7 linked regions of the Cricetulus griseus genome follow. The protein of the gene in region 7 interacts with the protein of the main gene of each other region in a pairwise test. Links are inferred from orthologs where the notes say so. Each region holds a gene or a part of one and is shown on either strand. Other genes may lie near its edges.

Region 1 (3,977 bases), on a different chromosome or scaffold from region 7:
TTTCTTAGCCTCCCAGGGACTCCTATGGGCAATGGAAGTTCTCTCCTAGCACGATCCTGTCCCCTGCCTCCTAGGACCCCTAAGGGCTATTGAAAGTGCAACACCTCTCTTCCTTACCTGCTCACAGGGCCTACGACGCACCCCTGGAGGTGGCCCTAGGGCTCGTATGACTCCTGGCCGGGGCTGAGGGGGACTGTACTGGGGATAGGCCAGAGGTCGGGGATAGCCACTGGGTCCCAGGAAATGAGGCTGCACCATCCACTGCAATTCCTGGCTGCCACTCACAGCATTGATGCTTGGCACAAGGTGGAACTTCTGAGGAATAAGAACAGGGGGTCAGTGATGAGGCAAATTGAGGGGCTTTCAAGAGACACAGGCTATACTTCTGTCTCCTCTCAATGCGGATACTGGCTTTGGGAGACCACAAGGAACACAATTGGGCAATCAGAAACTTGTTCATGAACTGTGTGACTTTGGGCAGGTCACAAAGTGTCTCTTTACCTCTGTTTGTCCCCATCAGAGATAATTCTTACCAAGTGTGAACTGTCCCTGTTCCCAACTACTTTATAAAGAATGACTCATACAGTGGGTACAATCGTATCTCCATTTTCAGACAGGATAACAGTTGACCACAGACCTACAGCCAGCAAGTAGAAACTGAGATTTGAGCCCAAATGGCTGGCTTTTCTCACTCTTTCTTGCACCCATCCTCACAACAGAGGATGGGTGCAACTCTGAGAATTAGGTAAGGGAGTTTGTTGTTGTTGGGGGACTGGATCTCATGGAGCTCAGGCTAGACTCAAACTCTTGACCCTCCTGCCCCCACCTCCCAAGCACTGAGACTATACAGCAGCCCACGTGGCTTAGAATGTGCAATAGAGTCAGGTGTCCAATATGATGAACAAGGGCTATGTCTCAAGCATCAGCTCAGCCATTTACTGGCTTTGTGACTGGAACCAGTTATTTAGCCCCAATGTTTCTTCAGTTTCCTTGTTCTTAATATCATGCAACATTTCACTGCTGCTGAGAAGCTGGCTCTGCTAGCTCAGAAACCATGTTTAATCGGCTTTAATTTTTTTTTTAATTTTAGAAACAGGATCCCTCTATTATGTAGCTTTGTACCAAATTTGTCTTGAACTCCCAGAAATTGGCCTGCCTCTGCCTCCACCTCCTGAATACTGGGATTAAAGGCATGCCCAATTGTCTATTTAAGATTCTGGAGGCTCAAAAGTGATGGGGTTTTTAAGTACAAAATAAGGTGAAGAGATGAAAAGCCCTTCATAGGAGGCCTGGCATTCTTTAGTTCTTTTTCTGCCAGAAATCTGAGGCATGTGTTGGGATTGGGGGGAGGGGTGGGGAGGATGAGGGGTGAGGTCTGGGTGTGTGTGAGTGTTCTGGGGCACAGACTGGGTTTAAGCCCTGTGAGCTAAGGGTGTGGGCTCCCTTCCGTCCAGGAAACACCTCACATGCCTAGGCAAGCCTGGACGGCTATGTCCTCAGCCCAGTACTGGGGGACACAGTAGCTCAGTGACCCCAGTTCTGGGCTAGAAGCATCGCTAGGGGCATCTCCCGCTCCCAGGTCGTCGGTCCCAGGGCGTTTGGGGCCAGGAAGGGAGGGGCACCCAGGGTGACTCAGCCACAGTGACTCGGTTCGCTGTGACTCGGCGGAACGGACGCAGCTCCTTCCCTCCCCTGGCAACACGTGCTCGTGGTCCCTCGACAGGAAATGGGCACCTGCAACCTCTCAAGTGTCCCTGGCCAGTAGTGGGAACCGTCGGGTGCTTAGAGTAAGGGGCGCGAGAGTGGCCTGGTGGATGACCCGGAGCATGTCCCGACACTTCGTGGTCTCCATTTGGCTTAGAGAGTGTAGTCAGTCTCCAGGAACCCCTCAGAGCCACTGCCTGAGGCCCCCGGGACTCCACTGCGTTCAAAAGGATGTGGACTTGACCAGGCAGAGGAACAAATTGGAAGCGACACTCGTACTTAGCCGCAGACAGACTGCTAAGGATTCGCTGTCCCGGCCGAGTTCTAATGAACCCCCCTCCCCCAAATCTCCCCTGTGCCCAAGCTCCAGGTCCCGGTTACTAAGCTGGAGATGGAGCGCTCCTCTGATCCAGCTCAGTTTTGGGTTGGGGCAGGTGGGACACTATTTAGGGGTAGACAAAAGGAAATAAAGACCGTAACGGAGACAGAGGGGTAGGTTGACAGTCAGCTAGGGAGATGCGGGCGGGCGAGAAGGGGGACTCGTAGATCTTCGCTCCTCCCGCTGCGCCTGTCCCCCTGGCCACGGGGGACACCGGTTCCTGGACAGCGCAGAACGTGCAGGATCCTCTGTCGCGCGGACGCTGCTCGGGGTTCCGGTCCCAGTCCCGGAGCAAACCAGACTAACTCCAGCATCCCCAACGCTGTCCAAACCCAGGTCCCCCTCCGGGGTCCGGCCAGCCTCACCTGATGCTGGGCGGTCTGCGCCTGAGCCTGCGGGGGCTGCGCGGGGCGACCGTACGCGCTGCCGGCCCCGGAGCTCGGTCCCGGTTCCCCGAAGTCTCGGTACATGCCCTGGGCTGGATGCTCGGTGGGGTCCGCGTCGGCGGCTGCGGTTCTGACTCACTGGAGCCTCGCGGAGTCTTGTCTTTTTTATGAATGAAAAGTTGTCGGGCTGAACCACTTGCACCGCGGGGGGTGGGGGCGTGTCGCAGCGGAGCCTTTCACCTCTCCGAGGGGGACCCACCTCTCCGAATGAGCCGCTGTGGGCTGGTCCGCACGGAACCTCACGACCCCCTGACTTGGTGGCCAGCCGCCTCTGCCGAGGGAAAGCGACCTACTTGGCGTCCCCTAGCCTCTGCGGTGGCCCCGCCCCCTCTGACGCAGCTGCCCATACATGGTGCAATTTCCTCGCCGCGCCCAGGTACAGCGAGGATTCCCCCTGACGCACCTAGCTGAGGTTGGGGCTTGCAGCTGCGCCCCGCCCCGTCTGGACTAGCCAAGGCTCCCAGCGCCATAAAACAGGGCGAAACAATCATGTAGCCGATAGAAGAACGGGAAAACTAGCAGGAAACTGTTGAAGTGAATTATAAATATGATGGATTATTGCTGTCATCATTATTTGCCTGGCACTGTCACCCAAGTCAGCCGTCCTGGTTTAAGGCCACTCCTCTGGAATCCGGGTGGGAAGTTTGTTTGATTAGAGTTTACTTTGTTGTTTGTTGAGGGAGATTGGTTAAGGCAGGGTCTCTGGTAACTTAGGCTGGCCTCTCTGGTGCTGGAATGTGCCACCATCATGCCTGGCTTTTTTTTTTTTTTTTTTTTTTTTTTTTTACATAGAGTCTCAGGTAGCCCAGGTTGGTCTTTACCTTCTGTGTCTTAGGATAGCCTAGAACTGCTGGTGTTTGCCTTCACCTCCGGAGTGGAGGGCAGATATTACAGGCATGTGCTACCACACCCCGTTTCAACTGGTGTCAAGGCCTCTGATAGACTAAAAAGTGAGTAAGTGACAAACCAGGGTTACAAAAATGTTCTTAGATTTTAACACTAAGTGAAATTCACTTAGTGTACCCACAGATAGAAAGCACTATAATTGTGTCTGGAGACTCCAGAGCTATCACAAGTTTTAATCTAAGTCTCTACAGGCAGAGAGAGCCTACAGAGGGACACAAGTGTCCTGAGATGCAATCAATGAGGCTTCTTGACTGGAGGCACTCCTCCAGGACTGTGTGTGTCACCAACCTTCTTTGAAAGTATGTGAAAGGTCTTTGTGAGGGTGAGGCCCTGGCCAAATGTGCTGGGGAGATAGGTGCCATCATAACCCCCACTTTACAGATGGGGAAAACTAAGGTTGACAGCTATTGAAATGAGTTGCCTAAGGCCACCACTGAGTAAGTGGCTGAGTCTGGTGACCAAGTCAGGCCATCATAGCTTTGAGCCCTCACACTGTACATACATGTAGAATGTCAGGCTGCCAAAGCTTCCCTTCTCGGCTT
Region 2 (4,234 bases), on a different chromosome or scaffold from region 7:
ACAAGCACATTAAGGGGACTCACCAAATACTGTATTTATTTTACTTGTGGCTTCCAGGGTTATTGGGGGGGCAGGGCGGGGGGGGGGGGGAGCCTAGGAGTTTTCAAAAACCAAGCAGACACAAAGAAGAGAGAATTATAAAATAAAACTACCTGGGACACTGACAATTTTCTTTCCCTGCATTTCTTTTGTGCTAGCCAGGTGTGATGGCAAATGCCTCAATCCCAGGACTCTTAGGCAGGAATTCAAGTTCAAAGCCTGACTGTGTGACTTGGGAAACCCTATTTCTAAACAAAAAAATAGAGTAGCTAGTGATAAGAACTCACAGGCGGATCTCTGTGAGTTCGAGACCAGCCTGGTTTCCAGAGCGAGTGCCAGGATCCGCTCCAAAGCTACACAGAGAAACCCTGTCTCGAAAAAAAAAAAAAAAAAAGCTTGTCTGGCTTTTTCATTTCTTAGTACTGGGGTGGGGGTGGAGGGGTGGACACTACATTTTTCATGGAGTATGTATTATACATTCCCACTAGTGCACAACTTGAGCTCTGCAATCTTCCTACTCCTCTTATTGCTTAAATAACAAATGTTTTGCTAAAAAAGATAAACACAACTTCTAGAATCACATGCCATTCCTACCTGACAAAAAACACTCAGTGCAACGCAGCAAAATCAGGCAGATGACTGCACCAACATGGTCCATTACCAGATGTGATCACCCCGAGGGGGCCTTAGCACTGGAAACATCTGCAGCTAAGATGATCAAGAGAAAAACTGACTTGCCATAATATTTAGGCAAGTGGGCATGGGATTTGGAGACAAACCTATTGTTACCTACCAAAACCTTAAAAAAAATAAAACTTGGGGGTTTGTTGTTTCCCAAAATCATTTTAAAAGGACCAAACTTTGGTGTTCTTGTTGCTGTCATGAGCTTTGTCCCAGCTGCAACTTTTCTGAACCGGATGAAGGGAAGAAAGATGGTTTTAGAGGATCCATCCTTGCAGGGATAAGGGTACTGTGGATCTGAAATGAGTTATTACCTCACTGTGTTCATTAAAGCATGCTAAATTCCCAGCAATTTTTTTTAAAAAGCAAACGGGCATCATTTTTTAATGTTTAACTTGTCAGGAAATAAACTGAGAAGCAGCGGGAACTTGCAGCTGGCTCCCTGGGCTCTGGCGTTATAAATCGGTATAAACAAAACTTCTCAAACCAACACTTGCTGATGAAATAGGTAATTTCTTCAGGTGGGGACGCAGTTGTCAGGTTTCTTCAATTCCCTTAACCCTAAGGTGCACTACCCTAACAACTGTGGTGAGTAAAATCTTACTCTCCGTTGTTTTGCATAAGTTTAGGTCTCTTCTGTCTTCCCCATTTAAACAGTTCCCATTTTACCAGTGGAGAGTTTACATAGGTCAGAGAGATGGGTGGATGGATGAACTCTTTCCTAATGTTTGGTTTCAGTCACGGTATCTTAGTTTGCACACGGTGAGAATGTCTCAACATTCTCACCATCCTAACCGCTTCAGAGTCAGTTTACGTTGTGTTCATCCTCCTCATTAGGATGTAATTTACCTGTAAGAACACTTTTTATGAAACAGTGGGTTGGGCCGTGTCTGCTTCTACACACTCAATTTTGGGAGACCTTAAACAGATAAATACAGTTTCTTGGACCTCCAGGTAAACCACCAGCAGGAGTGAAAGTCCGGGCCTGACACCACAAAACTGACAAAATTCTTAAGTCCCATGCACGCTCCATTCACCCATATTACTCAAGTGTTTTCAGTAAGAAACGCACCACAGCCGCAAATCGTTTTTAATCATCATTCCGAGTGTGCCACATAAAGTTGTGATTTTCTATGAAAACACCCTCCATGCGCCTTTGCTTTGGGGAACCCAAAGCTTTTAGCCCTTGTTAGTCTACCTCTCCCCCCACCCCCATTCCACATCGCCCAGGTTCGGCAGGGGTCTTCGACTCATCAGGGAAGAATGCGGCTGATGAGTTATCTATTAATCCAAAATGTCTCAGCTAGGAAGATATTTCACCCAGTACTTTTAACACCGAAAGGGAGGGAGAGGAGCTGGGGTTGGAATTATCTTTTAACAAGAACTTTCCCAGAGTTTCTTCCTTCAACCATGCCTCCCTCCGATTTCCAGCAGCAGCCGCAGAACCCAAATCTTGACCCTCCCCCGATCCCAATCATCTGAGGTCACCCGGGAGTCAGCTCTCGATTCCGCTTTTAACATCCCGGGTAGACAAAGCTGAGCATTCTACTTAAAAAAAAGTCTAGGGAAAGTCCTACAAAGTTATGCAATGGGAGGCATGCGGACGCGCGTGGACGCAGCCCCGCGCCTCGGGACGCCGCGTCCCGTGGGGCACAGCCCCCCCCCGGCGCGCGCACCCCATGCGCCCCGAGCCCCGTAGCAGGCCCCCCTCGGTACCTCCTCCTCCTGAAGGTTGGCCTCGCTCGGAGTGTTCTCCTTTTCGGCTTTGCCTCCGCCGTTCATCTTCCCGGTCCTTAGTCGCCGCGCGGGGCTGGGGCGCGGGGCTGAGGCGAGGGCGCGCTCGCCCGCTTGCTACCTTCCCCCGGGCGGACGGGCGAGCAGGCGAGCTGCGGGGCTGGAGCCGGACGGCGCTGCGGGGAGCCGGGGCGGGCGGGGAACCTCCGAGAGGCCGGGCGAGCCCCGTAGTCCGGACGCGGCCGAGGCGGAGGAGGCGAGGCGGCGGGCGCGGTTGGGACCGGAGCCGCCGAGGGCGCGCTGCTGGCAGGCTCTGGGCAGCGGGGCCGCACGCAGCGCGCTTTCTCTCGCTTTCCACCCTCCTCCCCTCCTCTCCCCTCCCTTCCCTCCCCTCCCCTCCTCCCTCCGCCCTCCCTGGACGTGAGCGGCCGGCCGCAGCCCTGAGGGACGCTGCTCAGGACCGCGAAGCCCCCCGCGGGAGGAGGGGCACTGGGCGGAGCGGTCGACCCCAGGGCCTGGCTCCGTTGGGGTGTGTGTGGGGGGGGGATGTCACCGGGGTCACGAGGCCGAGGGGACGGCGGGAGGAAGATCGGGTCCGCCCTCTCTCTCTCTCTCTCCAGACCCCGCGGCCTCGGCGTCGGTGCGGGCCGGTGTGCGTGGACTTAAGAGAGGGGTCGCGGGCTGGAGACCAAGCCTGCTGGGGGGTGCACGGAGGGGGGACTGGGGCGTGCTACTTTTTGTTTCCATGCTTTTCTCGACGGATGTGCACCCCAACCCACCCCTCCTTGGCAGTACCCGCTGAGACTCGGTTCTTCCCCCGCCGAGAGGTGACAGGCACGGGGGACAGCCCACCACCGAACCCCGCTTTTGCAGGACACGGCTTGCAACCCCAGCGCCAGCGCCGGAGTCCAGCGATCCCTCCCTAGCCTTCCCGCACGCCCGCTATCACTCTCCAAGGCTTCCGGCCGCCCCTGTTCAGACTCGCACAGCCGGTACCAGACTGTTCTGGAATCGTTTTGTTTACTTCACTCTTTGGGGAGCCCCTTCCTGGAATACAAGACCGTGCCCGGTTTATCTTTGTCACCCCGCCACTACTTAAGTAGGCTACCTGGAGCATAGTAGGCAGGCACTGGATATCTTATTTGTTGGCTGAGTGTCCCTCACTGCCCCTTAAAGGTCAGGACATTTATCTGGAGAATCAAAGCAATTGCCCAACCCCGGGATGACCGCGTAGCTTCCGTTTCCTCATCGGAGAAATGGGAGAAAATATATATACATATATCCCAGGGTTTTCGAGATTATAGATGGGGCAAGCCCAACCCTCCTCTCCCAGCCCTTGTTCTTGCACCATTATGGTTTACAATAGGCGGAAGCTAGCATTATTAAGGAAGTTTCCATTTTCCTGGTCCTACAGGACTTTTCCAACAATAGATCCGTAAACTTCTTTGACTAGTTTGGACAGACATTTAAGACCCCCACTATCAATGGGGTGTGCTTGTCTCTCCGAGGAAGTTTGTCTGGCATGCCGCACCAATCACTTCTCATTTATGTCTTGGTTTAACTGTTTATCTCTTTCTCCACACTCGACATTCTTTACCCTTTCTGCTTTGAGTGCTGTTGGGGTGGGGTGGAGGCGGGGTGGGGGTGGGGTGGGAGCTGAAGATAAGGGCCCTGCCTTTAGGCAGTTGAAAGTGGTGTTGTGGAGACAAGATACCCCAAACAACTCCAAGGCAACATAATCGCTGAATCCTGGTTCAAATTATAAAAAAGCAAGCTTCAC
Region 3 (3,956 bases), on a different chromosome or scaffold from region 7:
AGGTGGCTCACACCAGACTTCATTCACATGGGCACATGGGTAGCTGGCACCAAAATATGAAGATAGGATATAGGTCCTCCCAACAGCACAAGAAAACAGTCCACCAGGAAAAGCACCCATTAGCTGAGCATATAAAACAAGGCCTTGTCAGGTCTGGTGGCACACACTTTTAATTCTAACACCCAGGAGGCAGAAGCAGGAGGATCCCTCTGAGTTCCAAGCCAGCCAGAGCTATAGAGTTCCAAGCCAGCTAGAACTGGCTTAAAAATAAATGAGGCGTTGTCCATTCACACCCTCAGCTGACTCTAGACCAGGATCTTCCCTCCTCCAAAGCCAGCGGTTTCCAAGGCCGAGACCTGATAAAGAGCTGGCAAGAGGCTGGGAGCAGAGCTCTAGCATGTCTGCACAGGAAGTGAGGGAGCTGCTGGGGACTTCCTGGGCCAGCAGACCATGCACCAGGCCTGCTGCAGGTGAGGGTTCAGATGTTTCTCTGAGGAGCCAGAGGCTTCTCTCAGCAAGGAAGGAACATGAGGTCTGCGGTATTTAGTGTGGAAAATTACTTTATTTATGTTAGTTACTGCTTTTGAGATAGGCTCTCATGTAGCTCAGGGTGGCCTCAAACTCCTTATGCAACTGAGGTAACCTTTAACTTCCAATCTTCTTTTCTCTACCTCCCTGGTGGTGGGATTACAAGTGTGTGCTGGGGATCAAACCCAGAGACTCTGTCTCAAAAAACAAAGTACACAGTCCTGCAGTGGTGGCACACACCTTTAGTCCCAGCACTCAGCACTAGGGAGTCAGAGGCAGGCAGATCTCTAAGTTCTAGGCCAACCTGGACTACAGAGTGAGTTCCAGGACAGCCAGGGCTACACAGAGAAATCCTATCTCGAAGAACAAGGTGCTAGGGAGGGACAATGAGAGAGAACAAATATGAAGTGTGTCAGGAGAATGATACCATGATTTTAAAAACTTTCACTTTGCTTCTTTTATTTATTTTTAAATTTACTTTTTTATTTTATGTGCATTGGTGTTTTGCCATGGGTACCAGGTCCCCTGAATTAGAATTACAGACAGTTGTGAGCCACCATGTGGTTGCTGGGAATTGAACCCAGGTCCTCTGGAAGAGCAGCCAGTGCTCTTTACCTCTAAGCCATCTCTCCAGCGCCCCCCTTTGTTTTCTTTTGGTTTTTACTTTTCTTTTTACTTTATACACTAAATACAAAATTAATTTTAAAAAGACATGTAAGAGGTCTGGAAGCATTGGTGCCAGCCAGCATGGCTCCCACTTACCCACACAGCTCTCCTGTTCATCAGGTTCATAGCCTGGTGGGCAAGGATTGGGGTGTTGAGCAGGGGGCACTGGTGGTGGAGGGCCTTCGCCATGTAGATCATTAATGACAGCCGCAGATCGAGGCAGACACAAATAGCCCCCATAGTGGTTGATGCATTTCATTTCGCCCTTGCAGGCCTCGGGGATGGTCAGGCACTCGTTGACATCTGCAGAAAGGGGCCTGCTGGGCACAGCCAGTCACCTGGGCTGGCCCTGGAGGTAGTGGGAGGCAGAATCCCAGCTTGGCCTTCTCTAAGCTGAGCAACAGAGCAAGGTTTTCTCTCTGCTCAGCAAATTAAGGCTGATGACCCAGAACCCCTCCCAGTGATTTGCAGGACTGGGGATAGGGCCACCTATTTTCGCCGTTGTCCCTATTCTCCTGCCTCCAAGTGAGTTTCCATTCCTCCTCAAAACCCTGCCTCTACCTCTGCCCCAGAGTAATTTGCAGGCCTCCAAACCCACAGAGTGTGTACTGCTCTCCCAGGTTGCACTGGGATAAAGAGCTGGGCTAGGAGAGTAGAGGGCAGTTGGCGGAAGGTGTGCAGATCTCCGTTTCTCTGGGCAGTCACCAGGTGCTCTCCTGTCTACTGCAAATAGAGGCAGAGTTCATTGCACTTCTTGAAGGGGTAGGACTCCTAATTGAGTGGCTGGCTTTGGCTCAGCCAAGCTGGACAGTGAAAAGGCCATTAGGTTCCTGCAGCTGGTCTAGGAGCCAGGTTATCCCTGGGAAACAATAGTTGCCTTCCCAGTTCCTGAAAATGGCTAGTATCCCAGGCATACTCACCCCGGCAGTGCTGGCTGTCTGCGTCCCACTCATAGCCATCTGTACATTCCTGGAAGGGGACCCCAAGTGGCCAGTGACCACTCTGGAAGTCTCCTCCAACTAGCCAGAACAAGGCCAGGGCCTGAGCTCAGTTATGCTCGGGTCAATTCACACAATGACTCCCAGTCTTCCACCAACCAAGCAGAGGAGAGTCTTCCCCAGGCACCCCAAGATCCTGGTCCTTCCCATCCCATCCCATCCCATCCCATCCCATCCCATCCCATCCCATCCCAAGCTGGTCCCCACCGTGTAGCTGTCCGGCTCTTCCGAATCCTGTGGAGACGCTGCTCCCAAGAGCAACAGCAGGAGCGCCCAGAGCAGTAAAGACCCGGGAAGGCAGGAGGCAAAAGGGAGCATCCTGGGGCTGGGAGGTAGTGGGCAGGGGTCAGGGGCCTCTGCCACGACACCCCCCATTCCCTGTATCAGGAAGGGGACACTGGATTCCCGGCTGTCTCAGAACTGTGCTGGGAGCACCGGAGCCTTCCAGAGTTGGGGGCCGAGTCCTTTCGCAGGCCTGGGGCTCGCAGGCCCGCAATCCCGGACCGCCCCGCCCCCGCCCCGCGAGTCGTGGAGCGCAGGCCTCTCGGCTTGGCGTAGCGCGGACCCGGCCGCGACACGGCCCGCGCCCTCCCTCCGCTGGCGGCCACTCACTCGTTGACTCCGGCAGTGCCTGCGGGCGGACGGACGGACCGGACCGCGCAGCTCGCTGGACGCGCGGCCCCAGGAAGCGCCCCCGCCCGCCCGCCCGCCCGCCCGCCCGCCCGCCGCGGCCCACCCCGGCGCCTCCGCCCGCCCTTCGGCGGATTCCTGAGCCCGCGCCAGGGGGAGGGACCCCGACCCCCCGGCTTCTCCACCCCGGGCCGGCCACAGGCCCCCACCCGGTCCCCCGCGGCGCCGCCTGGAGGCGCCTGCGGGCGCCCAGCCAGAGTTCCCTAACGCTTGGGTCCCGGGGCCACTGACCTTGATGTTTGGCCCCCAAATTCACCTGGGGACCCCGGGCCCTCATTCAAAATGTTGTCCTAGCCACCTAGACCCTATCCAACCTGGTCCTCTAGAATCCCTGAGTGTGCACTCGCACCTCAGCTGTAGCTAAACACCCAGACCCTGAATCTGCGCCTCTCAGAACCTACTCGCCACTTATTTTCTCAAACCTCCAAATCCTACTACTTGCAGAATTTTATCCTGTGCTCCCCACATCATCAGTTAGATGGTCTCAAACATTCATCCAAGGTTTCCGGACATAAAGTTAATTGTCCCTCTCCCTCCGGCCATGAGCTCCGCGGCCTCCAGGTGGTCGCTCTACTCAGGGCACTGCTTCCCCGGAGCCTGCCTGCACAAAGCTACGCTAATGTGGGGGTGAGGGCAGCTGTCGTCTTGGCCCGAAATGAATGGAACCCCCGAGAAACTGGCAAACTTGAACTTGGGCGCAGAGGACACTAGGGCCCACTGCCAGCCCTTTTCCGACCCTCTTTCCCTTCAGGTCCCCCACCCAGTTTCCGTCTTGGTCCCCAGCAAAGATCATGCCTTGAGGGAGGAGCCGGTGTGCCTCCGGCTCCCAGGAAGGGGCGAATGGGCGGGACTTCGCGTTGCCCACGTCTCAGGGCGGGACTAGACGGGAAAGGACTGCGTGTCCAGGGTTCCCTTGCCTGGCCCTTGCTGGTTACGGCAATAGCCTGACCTTCCTTTCCCTTACCCAACCTCTTTCCAGTCTTTCTTTCTTTGTTTTATCTTTTCGAGACAGGTTCTCACAAGTAGTTCTGGCTGTCCTGGAACTCACTATGTAGATCCACCTGCCTCTTGCCT
Region 4 (4,212 bases), on a different chromosome or scaffold from region 7:
CCTGAGGATCCCATGTATTGGTTGTTGCTAATTGCAAAATCCTCATGTGTTACAGCATGCTAGGAATTAGCTAACAGCTGCTTTTTGCTTCGGTAATGAGGCCCCATTACACACTGCTGGACGGAGCTCTGTCTTCCTTCGTCCTAGCATTGGTTTCCTGTCTGATTTGCTTCCAAAACAAGGAATTGCCTCTGCTCATATCCTGGGCTCAAAGCCCTAGTGACACAGATTATTCAGTTGGGGCACTGATGTCCGGTCTGACTTCCCATCCAGGCCCCAGAGTTTGAGCCAAGCACCAGGCAGGGAGATTGCACTGTGTCACTGGTCAATGGCTCCATCTCATTAGTGAAAGAAACAGAAATACAAAGCTCCAATGTTGGCTGGGGAAAGAGAGGGAGGTGGGGTGGGGTGGGGTGGGGTTATTGAACTAGAAAGTCCGGGGACAGGTATAAAGTGAATGATGTTTTGGTTCAACACAAATCACCCACTGGGCTGGGATGCAAACATAACCAATGACTTTTTAGATAAGCCTTAAAACTCATCACTTCAGTAGTAAGGGTCCATTGACTGCACCCTCTGTGAAGACCAGGCTCTCTACAGTAGGTGCTTAGCAGGTATGTAGGGATTAGAGAGAAGACACAGAAAAGCCATTTGGAGGGACTCACTCGACATGGGGCATTACTTTGAGAGAGGTGCTCCTCTTTTTCGGATTACAAAGAAAGACATGTTTTTACTATATTTCCCAGCTCAGTCCATCTTTCCCTGGAAGCGCCCCCCCCCCATCGGGTTGACTGCTGGAGGCCAAAGCCAAGGCCATAGCCATGGCCTTATGGAGTAACTCACGCTGCTGCAGCCAACTTGGCTAGGAACTCCAGAGGGCTTCGGGCGGCAGAGGACCATGTAAGCTCATGCAGTTCCCTCATGAGACAGTGTGTGTGCTACACAAGTCAGGTACCCCACCAGCACCACCACTTCACCAGTACCCGTTTGGTATCCTACAGACACACGGAGTGCGGGCAGAATCCCTCCAATGGAAACCAGTCTGCCTGCTTTAGAAACAAGTTGTTTTTCTACTTCTAAAACCACTACTCAGGAGCCCAAGTGATGTCTCGTTCTCCCTCTTCTTTCTGCCAGCTTCTTTGCCCCAGGTATCCCCAAGCCCCCCAAGGTTCTGCTCTCCGGGACAGTACAGGTTCCTGCCCAACCCTCACCGGAAGCTGGGAGGGGGGTGAGCACAAGAGGTGTCAAGAGCCAATCAAAGCCAGCTTCTTCCTTCCTGACCTTCGCACCTGATTCCCAGAGGCAACCCTAGCCCTCCCTCCGGATCACTTGAAGGAGCCCAACCGTATTTCTGAGTCCCCAACCCATTTCAGAAAGCTGCTAAGACCGAAGGAAAACAGAAAAAGGAAAGGCTAAAAGGCCTTCGTTGTATGGTCTTTGACGATTGGGAGGGGACTTAGGAGGCGCAAAGATTTCCTTGTCTATCCACCACCGAGAAAGGGGAAGGTGGAAAAGGAGGGGAGAGCGTTCGGAAGGAGGCAACAGGCTTCCAAGAGGGGACCAACAATTCCAGAAGCTTTTCTGGAATAAAGTGAGAGAAGCCGGAGAGGGGGGTTGTTATTGGCTCTTTAAGCCCACTCTCCGCTTGTTTAAAAAAAAAAAAAAAGTGGTGGGGTGGGTGGGGCGGAACAGAACAAAACCCCACAACTTATCAACGGTGGCCCCTAAGTATTTTTCTAGCCCAGCCAAGGAAGGGTAAAGACGGAGGTTGGGGATGGAGGCAGTGAGAGCGAGGAGAGGGCAAGGAGTCAGCCGGTGCCGCCAGGTGCACCCGGGCCCGCACGTACCTGCTGGCCGCCGCCACCGCTGGAGTAGGACTCGGCGTGCGCAGGAGAGCCGCTGCTGCCCCGGGACGAGGTGTCAAAGTTCCCGGGATAATCCTGGTACATGATCCGCGGTGGGGGCCGGAGAGGAAACAGGGTGGTTTTCTTCCCCGCCCTCGCCGCGGCCGCGCAGTCTGCTGCGCGCTCGCTGGTCCACCGGCCCCGCCGCGGGCTGGGCTCTTGGCTCCGGGGCTGTCCCCCAACCGAGGCAGACAGGGAGGCGGCGACACTCGGGAAGTGATCCCCCGATCGCCGCGCACCGCACTTCGTTTCTGCTCTGCAAGCTCCGCGGAACCGGCTGTCCACCGGGTCCCTCCCTCTAAAAAGTCGGCGCGTCCCTCGGTCCCTCCCCTGCGCGCGCCCTTCCGCCCCCGCGCGCAGCCGGAGCTCCGCCGGGACCCACGGGCTGGATCAAAAATGGGCAACGCAAAAAAGACTAGGAGCCCAGCGGGTGTTGCTTGGCAGCTCTGGGGGACTCCCTCCCCAATCTCACAGGGCGCCAAAAAGGCGAAAAAGAAAAGCTGCCGGTTGGGAGAAACTTCTGTTTCCTCCTTTTAGAAAAGGAGCCCGAGAATAAACTTCCTGTGGCCAACTCGCCGCCTGAGTTTCCCGGCGACTCGGACACTTGACTTAGGACAAGGCAGTGAGCGCCTGTCCAGCTGCCCGGATCGCGCCGGCGGGACAGTGCCCGTGGGGTTCCAGGCTGAGCAGTGCTAAGAGGGACGTGGCTCCGCGTCGCAGTGACCTGCACCCGGTGTCCGCTCCAGGACGAGCTGGCCTCGAGCGTCTTGCCTCGCTTCGCCCTCCCTCTCTCTCTTTCTCCCCCTTTCTCGCTCTCTCTCTCTCTCTCTCTCTCTCTCTCTCTCAGTCCCTGCCGAGCGCAGCTCGCTGTCTCGCTTCAAGCCCCTGCGTTCTGCCCGAGATGAGTCACTACAATGGCACGAGTTCAACTCCACACTCTTTATTCTCCAGCCCCGCACCATGTGGATCGACTCACGTCAACGCTAGACTCCACCTTGCTGGGAGGAGCTCTCGAGGCGGCGGGGGAGGAGGCCCGGGACCAGGAGGAGGAGGAGGAAGAGGCGCGGGAGGGGAGGAGGCGGGCACGGCGCTCCCCTCCCAGCCCTGCTCGCGGTCACGCTGACGCCAGCCGCACACCCCGCGCAAGAAAGGCGGGTGGTGGTGAGGGTGGGAGCGTGCGGCCCTGGCACTTTGGGGGCGCCGAGGCCGCTTGAGTTCTTGCCGAGCTCCTCCACCCCCCGGGGCGCAGCGCCCTTGGTCTGTTCCATTGGCGCACGTTGCCAAAGATGGTCATTTGCGTTAGAGGACGCGAGTGCGGGTTTCCTCGCTTTCGGGTGACGTGGAGGGAGAGGGATTCCCTTGCCCGCTCCCAAGCGCGCACCCACCATCCCCACCCCAAAAGAAAGGGGCGCGGGGCGGGGCCCCGAAAGCGGCCTCGCGGGCTCGGGCCCCGGGTTTTAGAAAACAATCGCAGCCCTGAAGCCGAGACGGGTGGCTCAGTGCGGCGCCACAGCGAGGCCCAGAGCCCGGCGCTCAGAGCCGCTCGCGGGGAGGGCGCGGCCGTGCGCAGTCGTCCGCACCCTCCGCGGCGCCGCCCGGTACAGCAGGCGTCCTGGACGCACCGGGCACCCGCGCCGCCCTGCGGCCGGGTCTTGGCGGGGTGCGGCACGGCGCCGCCAGGCGGGGCTGGCCTGCCCATTTCCCCCTCGGAGCCTGGCTGCCCACTGCTTCCCTTTTGTATGTGTGTGCTCTTGGGTTTTTTGTTTGTTTGTTTGTTTTTGTTTTTTATTTTGACCTTCCAATTAATTTGCTAGAAGTGCTATTGAAGATGAAACTAGCTAGCGAGACATTGCGGGAGTCCCCTGTGCTAGACAATTTGGTCGCATCTAATAGCAGCAACCAGGCCTTAAAAGCAAACCAAGCTGTTCAAACAAACAAACTGGGGGGCCGAGAGATGTACCCCAAGTTGCCTTGAGCTGTTTTGGAGCAAAGTTCAGGGCACGCGTGGCCGGACTCCTGGCTCTTCCCGCCTTGCTGGGCGGGGTGGTGCACAGGGTAAAGAGCGCAGGCCTTGGAGTATGAACGCCTGGCCATGCTATTTACGAGCTGTGAGATCTTGGGCGAGTCTGCAGTCTCAATTTCCTTCTGTATAATGAAAGGTTTGGAGCGGACGACCTTCTGAAGCTCTTGTCTGCTCCGGACTTCCAATCATCCTAAGAGAAGGTACCATGCTAAGTGTTGTACCAGGAGTTGAGGAACTCTTTCTTTTGAGGCTCAGGTAGCACAGGCTGTCCCCGAACTCCGTATA
Region 5 (3,500 bases), on a different chromosome or scaffold from region 7:
AGACTGGCCTCTGCAGCAGGCACCAGTGGCGTCTGGGAGGCTGCTCCTGGGCCCTACTTTAGATGGGTGCTTGGAAAAGACAAAAAGAAGGGAAACCCAACCCCAGCCTCCAGTGGCCAAGGTCTCTTATCACTGGGTGGAGCCCTGGTGGCCCTGGGACAAGGGGCAGGACAAGAAAGAGGACAGATACATAGCTGTCCCTGGATCTGGATCTGGATCTGGATCTGGAGGAGGCTGTCTAGGGTCTCAAGTTCATGTCAGGTGGCCAGACTGGTTGAACCACCTCCAGCTGTGGGGCAGAATACCATACAGCTGGGACCCCACTCCATCCTGCACCAGCTCAGCCAGGTGTCCTGCACCAACTCAGCCAGGTGTCCTGTACCAGCTCAGCCAGGTGTCCTGCCAGGTGTGCAGCCAGGTGTGCTGATGGTGGGGCTGACCTCCTTTACCTGTGTTTTCTACATTCATGGTGCCACCAGCTTCTGGGGCCTCCCGGTCCCGCTTGGGGGCCGGCGCCTGCCTCTTCAGGAGCTTGTCTTCTTTCGTCCCCTGACTCTTGCTCTTGCACCCCTTGTCCTGCAGGGCCTGCTGCCAAGACACAACCAGAATCCTCTCATGAAGGGTACTGTGCTGAGGAGGGACCCTCGCTGGGGATGATGAGCACTCTGGTCCCCGGCCCAGCAGCTTGTCTCCACCGTGGACAAAGAAGCCTGCCTGGGATCTGAGGAAGCCAGACTAACATCCCACAGGAAGATGGCCATGGTTTATTCTTGGGCCCCACAGTAGCCAGTCTCTCTACCAGTAAAAAAAAAGATTAGAAGATTCTATGGTCCCCTAGTGAAGCTGGTGCTATCCCTGCAGGCTCTGTGGGGCACGGGTCATCGGCATGTGAGCAACTGGCTCACACCAAGCCTCATCATCACAGGCAACTATCCAGTCCTGCAATATACACATCATGTCGTGTATAGAAGGCAACTCCTCTGTAGTGTCATTTGCTGCAACACCTTGGCAGTCGGCCTTCCACCTAAGGATGGCCCTCCCAGGACTCAGAGGCTGCACATGAGTCCATCTGACCAGGAAAATGACTACCCTGCCTCCTTCAGGCTCTGTCCCATGAGGCTATCCAGGGGCAATGTGAACCCATGTGCTGGTCAGGAACTGAGGCAAAGGTAGCTGGGCTGGAGCGGACAAGTGGGGGAGTGGGAAAGGGGTGCTTCATTCAAAGACATCCTCTGTAGCCCCCAGAGAATGACACCGAGCAAGGGTCAGAACAGTGTGGGAAAGCGTGATCCCATTTGAGGGTCATACACAAGATAAAGGTGAAAATGAAACTGGAGATCTCACAGGCTCCGTGTGTGCTCAGTGTGGGGTGTACATACACAGAGACTCACTGAGATAGAAACAAAAGCAATTTAAACTTGGAGAACACAGGAGAAAAGGCAAGGTGATGAGCAGACAGGGTCTTCCTGGTCATTCTGGAGACATCTGGGGTTTGAAGTTTTCACCTTATAAACACAGTTGGGTTTGGTTTATGTCCACGGAAACATCTGGTAAGAAGCTTTTATGTCTTTGTGCCCTCTCAAGTCAAGTATGACTCTTTTATATACACAGGGTCTCACTCTGTAGCCCTGGCTGCCTGGATCTTACAGAGATCTATCTGCCTCTGCCTCTGCCTCCTCACTACTGGGATTTAAGGTTTCTGCCAACACTCTAGGCCAGGTGCCACATACATTTCTTTAATGCTCAGGGTAGTAGGGAAGCCAAAGCCCAATGAGACAGCATGTCACCTGTGTGCTGGGTGGCTGTGGACAAATTCTGCACCCTCCCTCAGTTTCCTTCCACAGTCTCAATCTAGAACCACTAACCTCTGCCCACTTGTGCCAGTGGGCAAACCAATGGCAGCCACAAGTAAAGCACATTTAAGGTGCCTGGCCTACAAGAAGTGCCACATAGATAGCAGTGGTGAGTTTATAATTTCTCTAGTCTCCACTTACTTGAGCATCAAAAGGCCAATCAAGAGAATTGCAAGAGTGAAAAGTGGCCGGGGCAGGTGCCTGGTTAGCCACGACCTTAGCCTCTTTCCCCCTCATCTTCGTATTTAGGAAAATTCTACTTAGTTAAATTTTGTCCCCACCCTTCAACTGTCACACCATCTTGAGCAGGTTGGAGGAGGTGGGGGAGGCAGGGATGGCAGCAGCTGGAAGTTTCCATTTGCCTTCAGACAGGAGCAAAGTTTACACTATTTCTGGGCTGCTGGCCGAAGCACAGGAAGGACAGATGTCCCCAGGGGCTGGGAATTTCTGTACTGCCTCTGGGGGTACAGCTCAGGCTTTAGCTGATGGACCAAGGCTGGAGTGACTGACTCTGTGACCTGCAGGTCGCTTCACTGTGCTTGGGACACACTTTGTTACATATCCATATCCATAAACATGGCAGAGTTCGGCAGGGGCCGGAAGGACATGAACTTGGAAGCCAGAGGCTATCAGCTTCTGAGTGGAATGTGAGCAGAACTGCTGAGCCCAGGCCTCCATAGCAGCCACAGCCCAGCACCCCATAATCAAAGCTCAAGAACAGGGCCACCACCCAGCTGAGCTGCAGCTCCTCACCACAGCCTCCCGATTTAACTTCCCTCTGGTTTCTTTAACTGTTGTCTCACCAGACCCTCTGGGACCTCACAAAGGACAAAAGTATGGGCAGCTCAGCTCCCAGAAGAATCTCACAAGAATAAAGAAACACGGTGAAACACAGGCTGTGGCTGAGGTGCCATCGCCCTTGGGGTCCTGCCCAGAGCAGTGGCCCAGGGCTGCAGCAGCCAGAGGAAGGACAGCTCAAAGGTGTATGTTCCCCCAGTGCCCATCCTGACTACCATCTATCTGCACTTGCTTCATCCCGGCTATGCACAGCGGCCACTTAGGAGGGCAGGATATGTGCATGAGGCCAAAGAAGCTGGGAGAAAAGCCAGGCATGGTGGCTTATGCCTCCTACCACAGCATGTGGGAACATGAGGCAGCAGTATCTGCCATTGGGTTCCACACCAGCCAAGGCTACACAGGGAATCCCTGTCTAACAAATATAAAGAAAGAAGCCAGAGGGATTTTGAGTCCTCTCTCAGGGAAATCTGGGCAACACCCCCAGATAACACTGGCACTTCATTCTCTAAAGTTTTGTTCCTGGTATTCCCATTGGTGCTTATGCATTTGAGGTCACTGGTGACTCTCTGGTGGGCTATCTTCCCTATTTCCCTTCTCATCATCCCTGCACCTGTGCTAGATGCATTGGCATAAGGCAGCCAATCCATAAATATCTGTTCAGCAAATGCACATATTAAAATACTAATGCAGGAGGACTGAAGAGACCACTTAGCAGGTAAGGGCATTGGCTGTTCTTCCAGAGGACTCAGGTTCAATTCCCAGTACCCACATGGTGGCTCACGACCATCAGTAACTCCAGTCTGAGAAGATCCAATACACTCTTCAGGCCTCCACAGGCAGCAGATGTAC
Region 6 (4,118 bases), on a different chromosome or scaffold from region 7:
TCTGACGGCCTTCCAGAGGCGGTGGCTGAATCACCACTAGGGAAGTGTGGCTGCCATGCTGACTTGGGGGATCCATGTGGAGTGATCTCCGGTTCCGGCAGTCAGCAGAAACCTGGCATGCATCGGAAATCCTAAAGAAGAGTGAGAGAGAAAATAAATGAGAAAGCATTTTGGGGAGGGGGGCGCCTGTAAGTAACAAATTGCCCAAACCACCTGGCAATGATCGCCTCCATCGGCTGATTTCAATGATGCAGAATCCTGGCAGGAGTCCAACTCCAAAAACAAGGATTGTGGAGGGCCACATCACAGGAAGAAAGCAAGCAAGACCTCATGCCACAAAAATTAGAAGTTGCTCTCCAGCTTCTAAAAAGCAGAGGAAGTCATGTCTTCCTGTTTGCAAACCTAACAAATAATTAAAATGAAATATGCCTTCGAAGGGAGCATTCAGTGCGCGCCCTGGAACTGTTCTCAGAGAGTTCACTATCAGTTCACTGGCAGTTCACGTAAGGAAAATGTCAGCTACTTTTTAAAGATTAAGAATGGCTTTAGTGCTGTGGCCTCTTGGCCATTTGTTCGCTGTTAAGAGCTTTAGATTAATGAGAAAATTAATCAAGGCAATTTCCAAAACACTGGATATTCCAAGCTCACGTGAATCTCAATAGGCCGTTTTGGGCACAAGTCCGGATCTAAAGCTCATCTGTGAGATGAGAAAAAGAATCTACAAGGAATGGAGAAGGCAGCGGCTCTAGCTGTCTTGCTGGCGCTAGAGCATGCACACAAACTCTGGATAGAAGGTTCTTTAAAGGTTAAACAAGGCTCACTCACCAACATGAATAACTTCTATGCACAAGTGTCAAACCTACAGAGCAGGGAGAGGAGCCCTAGTCTCTGCATTATCTTTATTTCCTTTCATTCATCTACACCACAGACCTTGATTTTCAACAAGCCCTGAATCGAGCTGCTTTTTGTAATAAGGTAAACACACTAATATCTCGTCACAACAAACACGTTTTCACGTCAAGAAATAATTTACAATTTATAATGCATTCGTCCTAAAACAGAGCAAAAGTTGACTTTCCCGTTTCCGGGCAGTAGGTATCTAGGATATTTTTCACACAAATGCTCTCCAAACCCACAGATGCACCCTAATTCAAGACGGCACTTGAATTAGGTGCCAAAAGAAAACAAAACGTCTCAAGGAAAAGCAGTTTGCTACGGATGCTCCTAGACTACATGTTTAGCTTCTTGGGGGCCCCTCTAGTTTATTCTACCTTCCCCAAACACGAGAAACACATCTGTAACAGCACGTCTTAGTACCGAACCCCTAAATGACAATGGGAAACAGCCAGTCGTTACTCCCGTGCCCTATCTATTTTAAAAAACTTAAAACTCCAAAACGAAGACTTTAAATGTGCCAAGTTTCATCCACAAGAAAGGAAGACGTGGGAATGGCTTGAGTAATGAAACCCCCAGGCATAGCTTTAATTCGCATTTTACAGGGCATTCCCAAGCAAGTTCGCTCTGGCGGAGCACCTCGGCGCCCGCACCCGCCCGGAGAGCAGCCGGGTGCGCGCGGACAATTCTGTGAGCCCGCACATAGGCCTCAGGGACACCGAGCCGCAGCGGCTCGGGCTGGGGAAAGTTATGAATGAAAACAGCTCGCGGGCGGGAGGAGGCAGCGCCCTCTCCCCGCGTCGCGAGGCACTGCGCTCCGAGCATAGGCGGCCGCTGGCTCCCCAGCGCCATCGGGTGCCGCGCGCTTGGCACGGGCTGCGCGACGACCGCCAGGATCGCCCGGCCCGCCCCGGCCCGCACCTGCCGCCCGCACTCACCTCGGCCTCCGCGGCGCCGGCCCGGGGCGCCGAACGGGCGGGATGCGCGCCGCATCAAGCGCGGCGGGGCGGCCGGGCGCTCATAGCCCGCGCTGCGGCCTCGGCGGCCCCGGGGCAGGGGCGCTTCTCCGCGGTTGGCGGCGGCCGAGGGCGGCTCCGGGACATCCGCCGGGTGCGCGCGGCGCCCGCTCCACAGCACCGTCCCGTCCCGGTCGTCAGGCGCGCGGCCCGGCGTCGTCCCGGGCGCTCGGGTCCCCGCAGGTCCGCGTCCCCGCAGTCGCCACGCCGGCTGCAGACGAGCAGAGACAGAAACACGTGAGTCCCTCGCCAGCCCGGGACGCTGTCCTCCTCGCGGTGATGGGCAGCCACGAGCCCGGGACACACGCGGCCGTGCACGTTTTGCCCCCACGGAATGCCCTGCAGTGAAAAGCGCGTCCGAACGGCGCGTCTGCTCGCGGCAAGCCCGCACTCGGGGACTGCAAAGTCAGGTCTGGCACGAGCGCCCGGCGGCTCGGTCGCCAACAATGCGCACAGACACGCGGGTGCGCGGCGATGCCAGCCCGCGTCCGCACACGCGGAACTCGCTGCCCGGCTACGGGAAAGCGAAAGGAGCCAGCTCTCCAGCTGCAGGGCCGGGCGCCCAGCGCGGGGCACCAAGCTAGAGCCAGATCCGAAAACGTCCGGTCCTTGAAAAAAAAAAAAAAAAAAAAAAAAGCACCATTCTCACCTGATCTCGCCAGGTCCTGGGCGGGAGGGCAAGGCTCTTGCCTAGTGCAGAGCCCGGGGCCGGCCTTCCCGGCACATGCACGTCGCGCGCAGCTGCTTCTTAGCCCGCAGAGCTCTGGCTGCGGGGCCGCCGCAAACTCCTGCGTGCTGAGCACTCGCGCGCGGGCTCCGCAGCATTTCAGCGTCGCCGCCACCTCCACCTCCACGCTGGGACCCGCCCCCGGTGATATCATGTGTCAATCACGCGGGCTGAGCCAAAACCCGGAGCAGGATTTTAGCGATCGTGGATGTGGACTCGAGGACGCTCCGAAAAAACTGCCTCTGAGCTCAACTGGGCAGCAACACATGTTCCAGGGCCCCTGATAGTCAGTGAGCTGTCAGCCTCCGATTTAAGGAAACCGATGCGTTCACCCTTATGAGTTAGAAAAGAGTTGTGAAGAACAGTAGGCAAAAACAAAACAACAACAACAACAAAAACACTTGTACACCTCTCCACCGTGCCCCAGGGAAAATGTGTGCTGATACAGTATGAAAGTTCCCGAAAGGACAGTCACTTTTGCAAATGTAATATAATGATCCACAGCAGGAAATCCCTCCTGCTGTGGGATTTTAGTGATTGTTCCGTTTCGGTTTATGGTATGATCCCAAAAATTACTCGGAAAAAAAAAAAAAAAACAAACCCAAGTAAGTCCTTGCTATTTTGTAATGTTTGTATAATTTTGTCAAAAAAACACAAACTTTTTTTTAATCAACAAAAAGCAAGTAAAATAAGAATAACTCATGAAGAAGCTTTAGTTTTAGTTACATGTCTGTCACAGGGTAGGGGGACTCTAGTAAGTGGGGAATGCTTTTTGTTTCCTTACAAACTCTGGGATTTTGGACATTTATTATTGGGATGATGTAGCTCAGGACAAAGTGAAAAGAACTATATGTGGAACTAAAAATTCCATAGAGGGTTTTTAAAATAACCTAAGACCCCAAAAATTGTTAATAGGAAATATTTTCCCAGGGAACTGTATCAGGAATAGTTTTGATAAACAACAGATCTCCAGGGTCTAAATCATCCATCAATGTGAGTTTGGATGTTTTGGGCTCAAAGTAGTTTTTTAAAGTGTTAACAATAACAGCAGGTTTTTTTTTTAAAAGCTTTTTGTTGATGTTGGTTTTTGCATACTTCATTTTCAAGTATCTAAATGCTTTTAGAACTCACAGTTGTGTGTGGAATTGCATGGGAGACATCCAGGACACTCCTGCAAAGAACATCCTCCATAAGAAAGGCCACTAGAGGATAATAGAACATTCTAGAAGCCAGGAAGCTAGCTGTCTGTTCACCTTCATGCTAGGAAATGTGTTAAAGTCATAGTTTCAAATGTAAAGCTGGTGGGGCTTTTGTATCTTGTCTATTTTCCCACAGAGGTAGCAATGTAATAAGGCCTGACAGCTGTGGATCTGTTTCTTAGGACTGGATTGGAAGGGTCCAATCGCTAATGCAGTATCATACCAGAGTATCTTTTTTGGCACTTCTCAGTTGTCTGCATAAATTTAGCAGGGAGGTCAGTG
Region 7 (3,999 bases):
AAATACTTGACCCCAAAAGTCAACCATGCTCAGTTCCCTCAGACTTTGCATGCGACTTGGCAAATTCTCCCTCTGTCCCCTCCTGGCTCAAGTTAACTGAGGATGTCCACGGCCCCACAGGATTCTTTGTACCCTCTATCTCCTTGGCACTGCTCCTTCAAGCTCTCCTACTCTTTCCTGCCCCCTCATTGGTTTCTCCCTCTTGACTAAATTTACCCTGGCTATCCTTTAGCAGACTGCCATTAGATCACTCTGCTTCAGCACTGCCTCCTGCTCCTGAAAGGCTCCTCTATGCCATCACTTCAGCTCCCTTGCCACCCACTCACTCATTAATCCCTTCCAATCAGGCCTCCACCCTCTGCTCTCTCCCATGTCTCCTGCAAGCAACTAACTGCCAAACCCAACAGCCTTTGCTCCGCCTTCCAACAATCCCAGCTCCAACAGTGTAGGACAGCAGTGACTACACGTCTATGGAGTTGATTTATTTATACCCTGTCTGACTGCATGCAGCAAGGGAAATGTGGCTTAGAGCAAGGCCTGAAATAGAGTGGGAGAGCATCAGTTAGAAGCTGGGGATCCATAACAGAAGGGGTACATAAGAGCAAGGCTAAACCCCAATGAAACCAACAGCATTGTCAACCAGAACAAGTGTGACCCTAGAGGACATCTGGAAACATGAAGATCTTTCGGTTGTCACAGCTGAGGAGTGCTTTTGAGGTCTGGTGGGTTGAGACAGGGATGCTGTCAAACACTCTACAATACACAATAGTGCCCACATCAAAGCGTCACTTGGCCTTAGATGTTAATAATGCCAAGTTTGGGATAGTGTGTGTGGTACAGGTACTTATGAATCTCTCTCCTGTCTGACTTTCATGAATCCCACCTATGGCTAGAAGCTCTTTACTGGCATTCTAACCCTGGATATACCTGAGAATCCCAACCTAGCCTGACCCCTCATTTTGTTGTTGTTCCATAGAGAAGCCTTCCAATTACCCCAGTAAAGTGAGTTCCCCAGTGTGGTCTGTTGCTTCTTTATGAAAAAAATTGCAATCAACTAGTTAGTCCATAATTTTATCATATGACTATATATCTGATGCCCAGACCAGAAGGTCTGTGAGAGCAGAGACATGTGTGTGTTGGAGTAGTGTGGTTTTCAAGAAGCAGCTAGAATGCCTAGACACACACAGGTAGGTACCTAGAAAGTGTCTAGGTGGCTTGTAGTAAATGAAGCGTAATGTCTATTGTCAGAGCCAAGCAAAGGAAACCCCTCCAAGTGTCTGAGCTCCTTTAGACAAGGAGGCTTCCCTTTGAAGAAACTGAGGGGGAGTTCTGTTTTAGTTAGGAGCCAGGTTTGAATTTAGTACAGAGATACTCTGCATTTACCATGAGAAGCCCTTGTCTGCATTTACCATGAGAAGTCCTTGTCTACATTTACCATGAGAAGCCCTTGTCTACATTTACCATGAGAAGTCCTTGTCTACCAGGATTTTCCCAGTTACCAAGCAACCTGTCCACATTCCTCTAGTATTTCCTGCTTCATAATGGCTTTCAAAATCAGTTTGCTCCAAAATATTTTTGTCTACTCCTTTTCTTGTTCACAGGTTACAAAGAAATATTGGCACAAAAACCTCTGATGAAAATTCCAGACTCTGGGTGCTCAACAGCTGATAACATCAGTGACAATATTTTATGTTTCTGTGACTTTGTCCCTCCAAATCTTCTCCTCAAATTCTCCCAGAATCCTCCACAAACTCTGGCAAACTATAAGAAGGGTATTCATCTTACTCCTAACTGACCTTAGACACTGCCCCACATAAGACTACCAACCTTATCGGATGAACTGGTGGGTGTGGGCCTTGGTTTCCTTGAAGGTACAGGAAAATTAGGGAGTGAATGCCATCTTCCTCCACATTAGCAAAATGCGTATGCTCAGACTCTGAAATGTGTCCTATATCCCATAAAATAAAGGTCCTGGTATAAAAACTACAATTCTAACATATCAAAATTCCTAGAACATGGTACTACCCAAAGATGGACTCTTGAGTCATGAGCAGAAAAAGTCATCTTCAAGTTTTAAAAATAAAACATAAAATTTGAATTTCATGTAATAAATATGGGATCTAATATAACAGATTTAGCAGCAGCACTAGTGATAACAAGAGTGGGTATTAACTGAACATTTACTATGTTCATGCCCTATAATAAACATTTGAAGAGAGTTATCAGAGGCCCTCAGATTCAATCCTTCATGTGAACATATCCTCTTCTCTTAAAAATTCTATGCCCAAGAACTGTAGTTTGAGAACAGTCATAGTGGTATTCTTTTCCTCAAAAAGGATCCAGAATCCAACTCACAACTACGAGGCATCTCATCAAAAAAACAAAACAAAACAAAAAAACCTCAGTATGTATGCAATCGGCTGCTGTGAAGAACACACCACCTTCCCCTTTCTGAATGACTGCCCAGCGGAAATGGTGGGCACGGAGCATCTGGCTTGCTTCCGGAGGAAGTTACTCATAGGGATGTCAACATTGCTGCCTTTCGGGATAAAGGGGAAGTATTTCAAACTATAAAGTGTGATCTAGCGTTAGTGAGGATGAGAATCATGATGCTGATGATCAGGGATACTTTGAAAAGTATTTCAGCTAAGAAAGAAAATCCAATGGACATGGCGGCTCAAATGAGCGATGCCGTCCCAGGGGAAGGCAGAAGCATGAGGACCCGCATACTCACCTGGGAGCAGCCCGGAGCACTGCAGACAAACGGCCTCTCCTGCTCCAAGTTCATCTTGGATTCCTCATAAATCTGAAGGATTAAAGGAAAACAGAAAGCCATGAATAACGCCCTCTTCTGCTTCAGATGCATGAGAAAGGCAATCATTGGGAGCCTTCTATAGCCATTCCCCAAAATGAGCAAGTTACAGACGAGCATGGTGATAACGGCCCTGTTTCCGGTTTATTGTTTCTCTCCACTTAAGTTCATAGAGTGCTATCTTTAGTGCATATTAAAGAAAAAGGTATATCGATGCTAGAACCTAACGCCTACCTCTGGAAAGCTGGCTGATGGCTGCTATTGCCAGGCAAGACCTCAACTTCTCAGCAAGATTCCAAGGCAAAGTACACCCCCACTCCCCACCCTGACCCTCGCAGTCCTATGAGAACTTAGAAACTGGCTGCTCGGGATAGCCAGAAGGAAAACTTCAGTTCGGGTAAAAATTGAGCATGGTTACAATCACCTTTACAAATGACCCTGAATACCAATAAAAAGTGTGGTCCTCATGACTCTCTGATTAGCACACCTGTTGCTGTTGGCTTTGTTTCTTTTTAATGACCGGAAGGACCATGCAAATTTCTGTTACATTATTTAGATGATTTTCTAAATACTTTTAAACCAATTTTAGATTTGTATATATGTATTACATGTGCTTTTAATGGCACGTGGGTCTATTGCTGAGTTTTAAACCCTACTGCCTTAATCCTGAGCACAGGGAGGAATCTGTTTCTTTAAAATGCTGCCTGTGGGTGATTCCAAAAGGAAGACAGTGCCAGCTTGCATCATGGAGGAGTCCCACTTTGCAAACACATCTAATTTGTACATGTTACATCCTCTTTCCCAAACACTATTCTTTAGGAAAATACATGCACCCTCTCTCTTTTCTAAAATGTAAAGTGAGGATGTTTACCTTAGATAGCATTGCCAGTCAGACACTAAAACACAGAACTGAAAACAGAGAAATAATGTAAACCCTCTCCCAACTGTAATTTCCCCATTGGCATGCATTTTCAACTAAGCAAAGCCTCACTCATTCCCATAGGACAGTGGTTCTCAACCTTTGGATTGAAGCTCCTGTGAGGGGTCAACTGACCCTTTCACAGGGTCACATATTAGATATCCGAATATGAGATTCATAACATCAGTAGAAAAATTACAGCTATGAAGTAGCAACAAAATTAATGTTATGTTTGGAGGTCACCACAACATGAGGAACTGTGTTAAAG

What was found.
Region 1: the proteins of Creb5 (region 7) and Fosl1 interact in binary tests that used the Homo sapiens proteins (3 or more experiments, as listed by UniProt). The two-hybrid records come from large-scale screens. The link is inferred for Cricetulus griseus from reciprocal best matches to the Homo sapiens genes CREB5 and FOSL1.
Region 2: the proteins of Creb5 (region 7) and Rbpms interact in binary tests that used the Homo sapiens proteins (3 or more experiments, as listed by UniProt). The two-hybrid records come from large-scale screens. The link is inferred for Cricetulus griseus from reciprocal best matches to the Homo sapiens genes CREB5 and RBPMS.
Region 3: the proteins of Creb5 (region 7) and Efemp2 interact in binary tests that used the Homo sapiens proteins (3 or more experiments, as listed by UniProt). The two-hybrid records come from large-scale screens. The link is inferred for Cricetulus griseus from reciprocal best matches to the Homo sapiens genes CREB5 and EFEMP2.
Region 4: the proteins of Creb5 (region 7) and Fosl2 interact in binary tests that used the Homo sapiens proteins (3 or more experiments, as listed by UniProt). The two-hybrid records come from large-scale screens. The link is inferred for Cricetulus griseus from reciprocal best matches to the Homo sapiens genes CREB5 and FOSL2.
Region 5: the proteins of Creb5 (region 7) and Kifc3 interact in binary tests that used the Homo sapiens proteins (3 or more experiments, as listed by UniProt). The two-hybrid records come from large-scale screens. The link is inferred for Cricetulus griseus from reciprocal best matches to the Homo sapiens genes CREB5 and KIFC3.
Region 6: the proteins of Creb5 (region 7) and Spry1 interact in binary tests that used the Homo sapiens proteins (3 or more experiments, as listed by UniProt). The two-hybrid records come from large-scale screens. The link is inferred for Cricetulus griseus from reciprocal best matches to the Homo sapiens genes CREB5 and SPRY1.

Annotation. Positions count from the first base shown.
Region 1 is NC_048596.1:53,891,461-53,895,437, forward strand, and holds the start of Fosl1 (fos-related antigen 1), read right to left. Parts: upstream 2,801-3,977; 5' UTR 2,554-2,800; coding exon 2,449-2,553; intron 316-2,448; coding exon 118-315; intron 1-117.
Region 2 is NW_023276807.1:50,883,351-50,887,584, reverse strand, and holds the start of Rbpms (RNA-binding protein with multiple splicing), read right to left. Parts: upstream 2,801-4,234; 5' UTR 2,503-2,800; coding exon 2,437-2,502; intron 1-2,436.
Region 3 is NC_048596.1:53,864,090-53,868,045, forward strand, and holds the start of Efemp2 (EGF-containing fibulin-like extracellular matrix protein 2 precursor), read right to left. Parts: upstream 2,801-3,956; 5' UTR 2,511-2,800; coding exon 2,400-2,510; intron 2,164-2,399; coding exon 2,115-2,163; intron 1,498-2,114; coding exon 1,291-1,497; intron 1-1,290. UniProt on the Homo sapiens protein: Plays a crucial role in elastic fiber formation in tissue, and in the formation of ultrastructural connections between elastic laminae and smooth muscle cells in the aorta, therefore participates in terminal differentiation and maturation of smooth muscle cell (SMC) and in the mechanical properties and wall integrity maintenance of the aorta.
Region 4 is NC_048600.1:12,335,997-12,340,208, forward strand, and holds the start of Fosl2 (fos-related antigen 2), read right to left. Parts: upstream 2,801-4,212; 5' UTR 1,950-2,800; coding exon 1,848-1,949; intron 1,617-1,847; exon of another isoform or gene 901-1,616; coding exon of another isoform or gene 844-900; intron 1-843.
Region 5 is NC_048596.1:171,330,985-171,334,484, forward strand, and holds part of Kifc3 (kinesin-like protein KIFC3), read right to left. Parts: intron 589-3,500; coding exon 450-588; intron 1-449. UniProt on the Homo sapiens protein: Minus-end microtubule-dependent motor protein. Involved in apically targeted transport. Required for zonula adherens maintenance.
Region 6 is NW_023276806.1:112,081,566-112,085,683, forward strand, and holds the start of Spry1 (protein sprouty homolog 1), read right to left. Parts: upstream 2,801-4,118; 5' UTR 2,560-2,800; intron 1,943-2,559; exon of another isoform or gene 1,833-1,942; intron 132-1,832; 5' UTR 77-131; coding exon 1-76. UniProt on the Homo sapiens protein: Inhibits fibroblast growth factor (FGF)-induced retinal lens fiber differentiation, probably by inhibiting FGF-mediated phosphorylation of ERK1/2. Inhibits TGFB-induced epithelial-to-mesenchymal transition in lens epithelial cells.
Region 7 is NC_048601.1:87,957,354-87,961,352, forward strand, and holds the start of Creb5 (cyclic AMP-responsive element-binding protein 5), read right to left. Parts: upstream 2,801-3,999; 5' UTR 2,789-2,800; coding exon 2,735-2,788; intron 1-2,734. UniProt on the Homo sapiens protein: Binds to the cAMP response element and activates transcription.